3 linked regions of the Canis lupus familiaris genome follow. The protein of the gene in region 1 purifies or fractionates together with the protein of each later gene. This does not show direct contact. Links are inferred from orthologs where the notes say so. Each region holds a gene or a part of one and is shown on either strand. Other genes may lie near its edges.

Evidence for each region.
Region 2: the proteins of STX5 (region 1) and SEC22B purify together in Homo sapiens (co-immunoprecipitation; 4 studies listed by BioGRID and IntAct, counting the BioPlex papers as one, with this or other methods). This does not show direct contact. The link is inferred for Canis lupus familiaris from reciprocal best matches to the Homo sapiens genes STX5 and SEC22B.
Region 3: the proteins of STX5 (region 1) and YKT6 purify together in Homo sapiens (affinity purification with mass spectrometry; 3 studies listed by BioGRID and IntAct, with this or other methods). This does not show direct contact. The link is inferred for Canis lupus familiaris from reciprocal best matches to the Homo sapiens genes STX5 and YKT6.

Annotation. Positions count from the first base shown.
Region 1 is NC_049239.1:54,380,789-54,384,535, reverse strand, and holds the start of STX5 (syntaxin-5), read right to left. Parts: upstream 2,300-3,747; 5' UTR 2,285-2,299; coding exon 2,057-2,284; intron 1,847-2,056; exon of another isoform or gene 1,692-1,846; intron 1,371-1,691; exon of another isoform or gene 1,352-1,370; coding exon of another isoform or gene 1,127-1,351; intron 1-1,126. Other genes in the region: testis-expressed protein 54-like, read right to left, coding at 2,498-2,697, 2,821-2,881; WDR74 (WD repeat-containing protein 74), read right to left, coding at 3,074-3,244, 3,536-3,592, 3,676-3,747. UniProt on the Homo sapiens protein: Mediates endoplasmic reticulum to Golgi transport.
Region 2 is NC_049238.1:57,690,933-57,694,579, reverse strand, and holds part of SEC22B (vesicle-trafficking protein SEC22b), read left to right. Parts: intron 1-2,435; coding exon 2,436-2,596; intron 2,597-3,647. UniProt on the Homo sapiens protein: SNARE involved in targeting and fusion of ER-derived transport vesicles with the Golgi complex as well as Golgi-derived retrograde transport vesicles with the ER.
Region 3 is NC_049237.1:14,335,990-14,339,592, forward strand, and holds part of YKT6 (synaptobrevin homolog YKT6), read right to left. Parts: intron 2,731-3,603; coding exon 2,630-2,730; intron 1,578-2,629; coding exon 1,473-1,577; intron 1,181-1,472; coding exon 1,115-1,180; intron 1-1,114. UniProt on the Homo sapiens protein: Vesicular soluble NSF attachment protein receptor (v-SNARE) mediating vesicle docking and fusion to a specific acceptor cellular compartment. Functions in endoplasmic reticulum to Golgi transport; as part of a SNARE complex composed of GOSR1, GOSR2 and STX5.

The sequences.
Region 1 (3,747 bases):
CCAACTCAATTATCTCTAGTACCCTCACCAGGTAGTCTAATCTTATCAGTAGCAGTCATTTAGAACTCAGATTTGAACATGGGTAGACCAAGGTTCAAATCTTGACTCCACCATTTATCAGCTGGGAGGTTTGGGGTAAGTGCCTTAAACCATTCTGAATCTCTTTTCCTTTTGTATAAGATGAAGAAAATCCACACACCTATTCTTGTTGGTAAGATCACACAACATAGGACTATAGAGTATTTTAGTCAGATACCCCATACGTTGTAAGCCCTAAATAAGTGATAAGCACTATTGCCATTCTATTCCTCCAATCAGGAAATCAAAGAGGATAACTAGAAAGCTCTTGGAGATCATACGGAAGAGCGGCTGTTAAGTGCTGAGCAATAAAAATATCTAAAATTACTAAAGTAATTATCTATTATCTAAAGTCACTCAGGTCCCACTTTGATTAGGACGTCTGGACTGAAAAAAGGGAATCTAATTAAAAAAAAAAAAAAGCACTCTAAAGTAATTTTGATAAAAATTACTTATTGAGAAAGCTCTTTTCATTCTATAGATATAAAAACCGAGGCCCAGGGGTGCCTGGTGGCTCAGTTGGCTAAGCCTCTGACTCCTGCTCTCAGTTCCAGTCTTGATCTCCAGGTCAGGAGTTCAAGCCTTGTGTTGGGCTCGGCACTGGACAGGAGCCTACTTTAAAACAAACAAACAAACAAAACCCCACACACCCAAAAAACCCTGAGGCCCAACTAGACTAACTTCCCTGTGGCCACAGAGCAAACTTATGATGGGACTATTCCAGAACTAGAATTCAAAGTGTCTGTCTCTGAGCTAAAGGCTCTCTCTAGAACCTCTTTCTTATCCAAATCAAATATACCGCAGCCACCTTTCATCCTGAGATACTCCTTCCAGAGTAGCAAGGCTACCCTCTGGGGTAATTTCTCACAAAACAGCGTAAGTCCTTGCTCCTAGACAGCTGATCCACCCCTTTTCTGTTGCTTAGTAGATCCTACTGCCCCCTCTAAGCCAGATCAGTTCTCCATCATGTCAATCAACAGTGCTGGAGCACAGCCTCTCCTAGATTTCAGTAAGGCTCACTCCTGCCTTTCCCACTCCTGGTCCTTACCTGACGGCTCTGCAGGGACTTGCAGGCAGACAGGAACTCCTGGGTCCGATCTCGGCAGGACATGGTGTTGGGAGGGGGAGGGACCAGGGCCACTGGGGGGGGCAGAGGGGCGATGTCGCTGCTGCTACTGCCAGCAGTTGCAGGGGACAGGACCTGTGTCTTTGAGAGACCCAGGTAGACACCCTGATCCGTGTTCTTAGACCCGTAGCGTTTCCGCGGGATCATTGAGACGCATAACCTCGGACTGTTGTGGAGGGCAGAGTGTCATTCCCCAGGTGGCCTCCTTCCCCACAAATCCCCCGTCCCCACCGCAAATCCTTGGGCCCCTTCTGCACTTGGCACGGACTTTCGCGCCCAAAAGCCACCCGCAAATTCTGGGCCCGGCCCACGGCGGCGGGCAGGGCCCCGCTCTCTGGCCCAGCCGGTCCAGCTCCTCAGACTCTTCCAACTTGGCTCGGGCGGCCAGAGCGCGGGGCCGGGGGCCTTGAAGCCGAGACGGGGCCAGAGGCAGGTCCCGGGGCCCCGAGGCTCCAGCCCGCCCTGTGCAACTGCCCTAGGTCCTAACCGGGCCCTCTCGTATCCGCAGATCCCTTCGACTCCTCAGGGAGAAACGGTGACCGGCCTCCTGAGGGGGACACACTTCGGTAGGCGGAGGGGGGGGAAATCTCTGGGTGTTTATTTGAAACAGGAAGTTCCTCCCCCGCCCAAGTCCCGCCTCCTGGGGGACTGCAACCAGTGATTGGCTAATGCCGACGTCTTTCTCAACAGGGGCTTTCCTGATTGGACGGCGAAGTATTCCCTCACCCCGAGCCCGGCCGGCAAGACTAGCCCGCTCGCCCCAGGTTCCCTTCCCCCTTCACGTCACCGCCCCCGGAAAGCCGCTGCCCGGAGCGGACACGGCAGCCAGGCCCCTTCTGGAGCGAGTCCTACCTCCTCTCTGCCGCCTGCCGCCGCCACCACTGCCACAGTCTCCTGGGTGGTCACCGCCTCCTCCCCGAGCGCCGAATCCGCCGAAATCCGACCAAAGACTAGGAGCCGCCACGTCACCCACACGTAGCCCCACCCCCGGTGACGGGAGGGCGGCGCTACGCCTCTCGGAGCCCGGCGACCGAGAGACACGCCCTCCCACCAAACGCCGGAGCGACTCCGCCCTCCCATTGGCTAGGCCGCCCGCGACCCCGCCCCCGAGGAGCCAGGGCCGGAGCCCAGGGGGCTGGGCCAATCTCAGCAGAGGAGCCTTAAAGAGCCCGCAGCCCCTGCGGTGCCCAAAAGCCATCCGCAAAACGGGCAGCAGGGGCGCTTGTACTGGGCAGGTACACGTTAGAAACTTTATTCTCTGGAGGCTGGGGCAGACTGAGAGCAGGGCTGGGGTCACCCCTTCTCCGGCTCCTCCAGGATCCCCTCCTGGTTGCTCTCCTGCAATCCCTGCTTTTGACTCTGGGCGGATTGTCTCTTGCTTGAGCCCCGACGGCTGAACAGGGATAGCCGCCGCCACAGCACAGTGATCAGGAGGCTTTCATTCGACCTCTGATTCCGGTGGTCGGGCGGGCCCATGTGGACCTCTTCAGAGCCTGCGGAGATGATAAAGCCGCTGAGCTCTGCTTTGCCCTCCGGGGTTCAACCTCCTGGGCGGTCCTGTCAGAGCAACCCCTTCTCCCGTTCCCTGGGGCCCGTTGGTGTGTCTTGGGTCCCACCTTCGACTTCCTCCGAGGCCGGCTCATCCGTCTGGAAGTCCTTGTCTTGGCAGCAGCCCATGGCCCCGAGCGGCCCCCAACTCCGTGCCACCCACGCCAACCCACCAGGCTCCCGGGCCTGGCTTTTGTGACGTCAGATATCCTACTGCACCAGTGTAGGGAGCAGCCACCCCTCTTTCCTTTCTCCCATCACAAAAGGCTCAGGGTCATGGCGGGTGTTGAGCTGTTTATTTACAAAGTGAGCATAGGCTCTTCAGGCGCTGGTGGACCCAGGCCGCTGCTTTTTTCTCCGTCTGGTTTGGAGAGCCCCTTGGGTCTGCTCCGAATCAGGGAGCGTCCGCTTGGCAGCTGCCTCCAAGGAGGCCCAAAGTTCATCTGTCTCTGTGTCTTCCGGTGGTGCCTTTTTGGCCTCTTGGGGCTCATCCTGGCAGGGGGAGAAAGGTTAGAGGAGTCAGGGACACAGAAACAGATACACAGGGAAGAAGGATCCAGCTGGGAAATAATCGCTTTTATTTCCTGCTGCCAGACACTATTCCCATCCATGCTATGTCAACCCTCGGCAGTAACCCTATCAGGAATATAACTATTAACACTCCTCAGAGAACTTCAGTAACTTGGCAGACAAGGAGACAGTTCCAGCCACTGTTTTTTTTTTTTTCTCTCCCCAGGGAAATGCTCACACCTGTGTCCTTACTCCCACAGACCAGCTGCTTACCTCCCAGTTATCCCTGCCTGACAGAAGAAGGCAGTTCAGTTGAGACTTGAGATAAACCTACAAAAGATCAGGAGCCTTAGGGAGGCAAGCACACTGAAACAAAAACCTGGATGGGGACACACGAGGCAACCAGCTCTCACCTTATGCTCCAGGCCCCGTGGATTCTGGATCCTGTGTATCCTCAAGACTCTGTCCAAGCCACAGGAGGCTAG
Region 2 (3,647 bases), on another chromosome or scaffold:
GATAAAACAGGAAGGATTAGAAAAAGAGAACAAGAAGGTCAAAGGAAAATAAGATAGGATTAGCTGAATAATCCTTATTACTATTTTAGGAACTGAGGCTAAGATAATAGACCTGGGAGGGACCTGCTGTGTTTAACTTGAAAGGCAAAAAAAAAAAAAAAACCCTCCTCCACCCATCAGAAACAAACAAGTATACAAAACCAAAATCAAAACAAAACCCTGGTTTATTGGTTAAGAAAGTAGTGGATATTAAGTTTTATAAGGTATTAATTTGTATAGTATATGTAACATTTTTCTATAAATCTAATTTTAACATCCAAAAATAATCTAGGCACCCAATTATATAGGTATGGTATCTTTATCTCTACCATGGGTTAGGAACAAAAAACCTAGGGAAGTTCTAGTGGAATTGAAAAGAAATTTTTTTCTTCTGTGTGGTTTGCTTTAGGAACTTTATAATCTCATCTCATCTGTTATTTCCATCAAAGGACTATTTATTAAAGATCTATTTTTTGCCAGACCGTATGTTAAGTTCTGCCTTTAACATCCATAGCTCTTATGAGCTTATCTTAGTAGCAGAGAGAAACACATATTCAGACAACTAAACTATGATACCGCAGGGCAAGAAGTGCTATAATTCAGTTAAATTAAACTGAGTAGAAGGAAGGAAGCATTAAATTTCCATTTGTAGGGAATACATTTGAGACAAGGGGATAGAGCGAGGGACAATACAGAGAAATTTCATGGAAAAAATTATAGTAGAATCAAGCATATGAAAATGAACAAAAGTTTCTCCAGGTACATCAAAGAATATTACAGTTAGAAATATATATGTAGTGCTTGCTTTGGCAGCACACATACTAAAAATTAGAAATATATATTTATATATAAGCAGAAGTCCATGAGGATATAAAAGAACGTAAGTTTGGAGAACAGCATGATATAATGTGACCTACACCTGTTGTGGAGGCCACAAGTATTATATCAAGGAGTATGATTTTATTTTATAAGAATTAGGGAACCGGGATCCCTGGGTGGCGCAGCGGTTTGGTGCCTGCCTTTGGCCCAGGGCGCGATCCTGGAGACCCGGGATCGAATCCCACGTCAGGCTCCCGGTGCATGGAGCCTGCTTCTCCCTCTGCCTGTGTCTCTGCCTCTCTCTCTCTCACTGTGTGCCTATCATAAATAAATAAACTTAAAAAAAAAAAAAAAGAATTAGGGAACCCTCAGAATTTTTAAGCAGGATAATACAGTCATATTTACTCTTTAGGAATAACACTGGTAATTTAGAAGATGGTCTGGGAGCAGTTGATTCAGATGCCCAAGCAAGAGATAGGACAGCAGTCTCACCATCGTCATCATCATCATCATCATCATCATTTTAAGGGGCCCGAGAGATTATATAATACACTCTAAACTGCTCTGTGGAGTCCTAGGATGTGTAAGGAGCCTCATAGTAAGAGTAGGGATTGGGGTATATATAGTACTTTGGGCCCTTACACTCCACTTAAACTGATGACCTTCTGATTTTATTTGATGTACATACTGGGTCTTCTGAATATAATTATTGCTGAAATAAAAAGAATACTAAAGCTAAAAAGACATTTGAAAATCACTGAGTAACCTAACTTCTTTCCAATACCTCTCAGACATGTAGTTATATAATTCCTTCCAGAATGCCAGAGAGCTCACGCTCATAAGAGGAAGTCAGTTCTGTTATTGGATAGTTTCTGATATTGGATAGTTGATATAGAGTTCTATCCTGGAAGTTAGGGAATATTATTTGTCCTAAGGTCATTATCTGTACTCAGTAAACATTGTAGCATTAACTTCCAAATTCTAAGTATCCACAACAACTTCCAGTTCCCCTGTTTTTCTTGTAACTGGGAGGAGTTTAAATATGTGTATACCAGGGGCTGCTGGGTGGCTTAATCAGTTAAGCATCTGCCTTTGTCTCAGGTCATGATCCTGGGATTGAGCCCCACATTGGGCTCCCAGCTCTGTGGGGAGTCACTTCTCCCTCTCCCTGCTTATGTTCTCTGTCTCTCTCAAATATGTAAAATCTAAAAAAACAAAAAAAATACATACGCACACACACACGCACAGTTGTTTTCATACATAATCAAAAGATAGATGGAGTCACAACTCTGTTTTCAAGAAAAAGTCGTAGGTATTAAGATATTTTACTGAATTATAAACAATTATAATAAACATGTTTAGATACTCCTTTTGGAATATAATTCTAATAATGGGACATTGTTTGCTTTCTGATTCTAAGCATTTGTGGTTTGAAGTTGATTTTTTGACTTAGCTAGCCTCAAAGGGCTTAGGCTAGAATATTTTCAAAAGTTTGTAAAGCACTGAAAGTCTGCTTCAAGTTGTTGGGGGTATTGTTATTTTACAGACAACTTTTTCTTGTTTTTTTGTCTCTCCAGCTACATTATTGAGCAGGGAGTTTGTTATTTGGTTTTGTGTGAAGCTGCCTTCCCTAAGAAATTGGCTTTTGCCTACCTGGAAGATTTGCACTCAGAGTTTGATGAACAGCATGGGAAGAAGGTGCCCACTGTGTCTAGGCCCTATTCCTTTATTGAGTTCGGTAAGTTTTTGCTCTTTATATCAAGAGAGCAAACGATAAGAAGAAGCTGTTTGTTACATTGATAATAATTTTGTCACTTTTTTTCCCTGATGTTTTCTTACTGAAGTTTTGGATTCTGTCTCTTCCATTTCATCTCTTTTTGTCTTTTGAATGAATGAGACTTTTTCTCCTAAGTAATTTTCTCTGGTCTTTTGATTTTCTTAGAACTTGTTGCCATTTGATCTTTTTTATGATTGATTTGATTAGTCATCAGAACTATTCCCAAAGATCTGCTTGACTGGTGTATAGTAGCTGAGCCCACCCCCTGCCCTGCCCAGTAAGGTTCATTTTCTGGAGATCAGAATTTGGAAATCAGAAAGAAGGTATTTTGTTTCTTGTAGATCCTCTAATTAAAAAAAAAAACAAAAACAAAACTGGAAGAGGTATGGTATTACGGGTGGATAACATTTATTACATGCAGAAATAGTGAGCGTGGATGTCCATCCATGTATGTACAATAATTACGGAAAGATTCATCATCAGTAAAGCATCTAATGTTAAGAAATCAAAGGAAATGTCTTGGGTACCCTAAGTAGAGAAGTGAGAGTATGTATGATTAGACTACATTACTGATATTTTTAGTTAAAAAAGAAATGCATTTTACTGTATCCGAATTTCTGAAGTGTTTCCAGTTTGCTTGATAAATGGTCATCTTACTTTTAGAAATAAAATTTAGCAAAATACTCCAGTGTTTCATAATAAACTCTTCAAGTGCCAATTTTTATAATGTCTGCTTTTTCAGGTTTTATTTTTAAAGATAATAAGGGTCCAGTAAACCCAAGAAAAAAAATAAAATAAGACTACTATATCAAGATCACACAGGGAATAGTTGGTACACTCAAATTAGCTTAAAGAATTATATACAAAGATGAATGGGGTATAGGTGAACTACAAGGTACTGTAATCTGAGATCAGTAACAGTGTAATTGTTTTCATCCCTAGGCCTGAGGGGATAAGAGAAAGGAGCAGTTTCTAGAACTGCAAAGGAGAAAAAGGAGAGGGCCAACTTGAG
Region 3 (3,603 bases), on another chromosome or scaffold:
CACAGCTCATTCTCAGTCCTAAGCCCCAAAACTACATCATTAGAGCTCGATGCCTGCAGCCCCCCCACCAGTTTCTATGTAATGTGCTTCCTGGTGCCACCCAGGCTGGCATCCGACCCTGGGACACAGTGCTGAGCATGAGGACCAAGCCTGAGTCAGCAGGAGTTTCACGTCGAGCAGGGTTTTTCCGGGCACCTTTGTGGAGCTATCTACCCACTTAAGGTTCATTAGCTGCTGGGCACTGGCATCCCACACATCCACCATCGCACCAGGAACAGGGTGGGTAGGGACAAGCTCTTGGTCCTGAGGGCTCATATGCCTGGCAGTCAGGGAGTCATGGGTGCTGGCTAAGACCATGCAGGGGCGTCCAGGAGGCCTGTTCCTGGGGCACTTGCACGGGAGCCAAGCAGGAAAGGAAGAGGCCACGAGACCCTGAGGCTGTGCCAGGGAGTGTGCACTGGACCCCACAGCTTTCCTGAGGGCTACTGATGGACGGTAAGCAGAAGAGCCACAGAGGGGTGGCTACGGTGCAGACACACTGGGCAAATGTGAAAAGACGGCTCCAAGTGAAAGGGGGGTGGGGGGAGAAAGGAAGTGGGGGGGAGGGAGAGAGGTGGGGGAGGGGAGGGACGGAAGCTAAAGCAGCAGCTACAGACCAGCAGAGTGCTCAGGTACGACAGGGGGCTCCCACTCTCCTCAGGCCTGAGGACCCTAGGTCTGTGTTTAGTGAGTAGGGGCGGCTTCTCCCGCCCCCACAGCCCACACCCTGTGAGGGAGGCAGCAGGAATGGCAGGGAAGCAGAGCCACGGATCAGAAACCATCACGACTGGTAACCGCCCAGAACAGGGAGAGATCAGGGGCCACAACAAGGTCTCGGCTGAGGCCCTTGGGCAACAGGTGTTGAACTCAGATGGGTGCAAGCAGCACAGACCTGGAGGCGTCTAGGTGGTCTGGCTCTGAGGCCTCGGACACTCAGGAAGAGGTGGGCACCACCCCTCTCAGCCTAGCGCTGGCATGAGGGCTCCCCCAAGCCCAGACTGTGTGCCCAGTGGCTGGCTGAGATTTCCACCCCCACTCCTGGCTCTAGGATGCGCTCGCCCCTGCTCCTGCTCACCAGAATGATTTTGGTCTCGTCCAGCTCAGCCTGCACTTTAGTCATGGGGTCAGCTTCTCGGGGGTTCTAGGAAAGAGCCAAAAGTAACATCAGGAGGAGAGTGACCACCTGGAGACAAAGCTCAAACCAAACAAACCGGACATGTGGCCACGTTCACAGACCACAGGCTGCTCAAACACATGGCAGAGAAGGGAAAGCCCATCACGGAGCTCGGTTCCAGGTCTTACGTGCATCCCTGCATGTTTCACAGCGACACCGACACTAAGGCTGCCAGGAAGTTCCCCCACAGCCATGACCTCCAGGGCTGCTGGCTTTGCTGTACCACACAGCCTCTCCTGGAGGCTTCTGTACACCCTACCTGGTATCGACTCAGGTGGCCATCTAGGGCGGTGTAGTGGATGCTGGCAGGGGACCCGATAGGCCACTCTATCCTGTCCACCTGCTTGGAGAATTCGTCTAGAACCTGCAGGACAAAGGGACACATCAGTATCCGCGAGACCTGAAGAACACCTTGCTCAAGAGAGGCAGTCAGGGCCATGGGTGGAGGGAAGAGGAGGATGGCTCATGGCCAGGGGCAAATCTAAGTTCAAGTATTTAAAATCTATGGAAATTGGGACGCCTGGATGGCTCAGCAGTTGAGCATCTGCCTTTGGCTCAGGCCCTGATCCTGGGATCCAGGACTGAGTCCCACATTGGGCTCCTTGTGGGGAGCCTGCTTCTCCTTCAGCCTATGTTCTCTGTGACTCTCTCTCTCTCTCTCTTTCTCTCATGAATAAATAAAATCTTTAAAAAAATAAAAATAAAAAATAAAATCTCTGGAAATTAAGCACCAAGTATATCTAAACTGAAATGAACCTTGTCTGGAAAATAAAAGTATCAAAATTTTAAGCTACATATTTCCCCTTTTATTAGGTCACATGATTCTAGAAAAGAAAGTACTGGCCCTCTCATTTCCCAGAACAATTCTTCAAAAATGGAGCAAGATTTTTTGGATTTAAGCAACCAGCAGATTTCATGTGCTTATGGGTGTCAGTGCTTGGGGGCAGCAGGGGCCAGCATCCTCGAGGGGTTTATGACAAGCACCCCTCAAAGAACTGAAGAGCATGGAGGCACTAAGCCCCGTGCTGGTGCTGGTGCCGGCCCCATGTGGGGGACAGGAACACCCGGGGTGTGCAGGGATGACCTGACGGAGGGTGGTCGCCACAAGACAGAGCACAGCGTTGGCTGTGGCTCGGAGGGCAGAAGCAGAACAGTGGCCAGAGCAGCAGCCAGGGCTGAAAGTGCAGCCACAGGTGACCCGAGGGCCTGTCCCAGACACAAGCAGGATGAGGGGCAGAAATCAGAGCCAGTGAAGGAAATGGGGAAGGGATCCCAGACCGTCTCCTGGTTTAGGGCAAGAAAAAAACTGAAAATAGGTTGATTTTAGACACACTAATACACTACTCCCTCCCTTATACCTCGCGCTCTGCCCACACCTGTCCATCCAAGGCCCGCTTGGCCACAGCGCAAACTCACCTTCTCCAGCAAGGTAAAGGCCACCCGGGATGGATATTCGCTGTCAGCAATGACCACTCCTGCCAGACTGTCGTTTCGCACATAGACGTGGCACAGGTATTCTAAGGAGAGGATAGACACGCGGAAGGGGAAGTGAGAGTTTTGGCCATTTCACCCTGATCATCAAAGTGTCACAATGCTGAGCTCTTGCCCTGTGGGTCAGCGAGACTCACACAGGACAGCACGGGAGGGAGTGCTGCCACCAGCACGGCCCAACAACCGCTTCAGACAAGTCAATGCCCAGAGACCCTGTGTGCAAAGCCAGGGTGTAAAGGAGCCCCAGGGGTGCAGGAAACCTCCCAGGGGATGCAATTCCAGGCACATTTCCCAGTTAGATCCTGGAGCCCCAGCAAGGCTCAGCTCTGTCTAGGGGGTTGCACCTCTGATGCTCTGGCCTGTTCTCGAGCCAAGGAGACCCCAGACGAGTACAAAATGAGAGTGGCCTGGCCTCGCATCAGGAAATCGGGACATCAGGTTTCCTTCTTACAGCAATCCTGGCCCGTCCCCTGCTGTGGTGGGCTGGGGAGGTGAGGGAGGGAGAGAACAAGGAAAAAGAGAGGAGAGAAGGTCCATCTGCAAACAAATGTTCTCCAGCATTGCTGTGTGAAAGTCACTGAGTTATCTAAAGGCAGAGAGTGTATGAGTGCTTCTGAAAAACAGTCACCATTCCTGCTATGAATTTTTGTCCCTTTCAAAATAATCCAGACAGGATACAGCTAATCGTTCCCTCATGGAAAAAAGAACCTAAGGATTACACCTAACAAATAAGAACCTTCTTGTTCGGACAACACTCACGCAGAAGAGCCTGATGCTAAAGCTGGAGAAACGGGGAGATGGAGAGACCGCGAGCTCATGTCAGACTAGGGCAGCGATGGACAAAAGCAGGGCCACCGCTGCCCTCTGGACTCTGTCTACGATCCCAAGCAAGCAAGGCT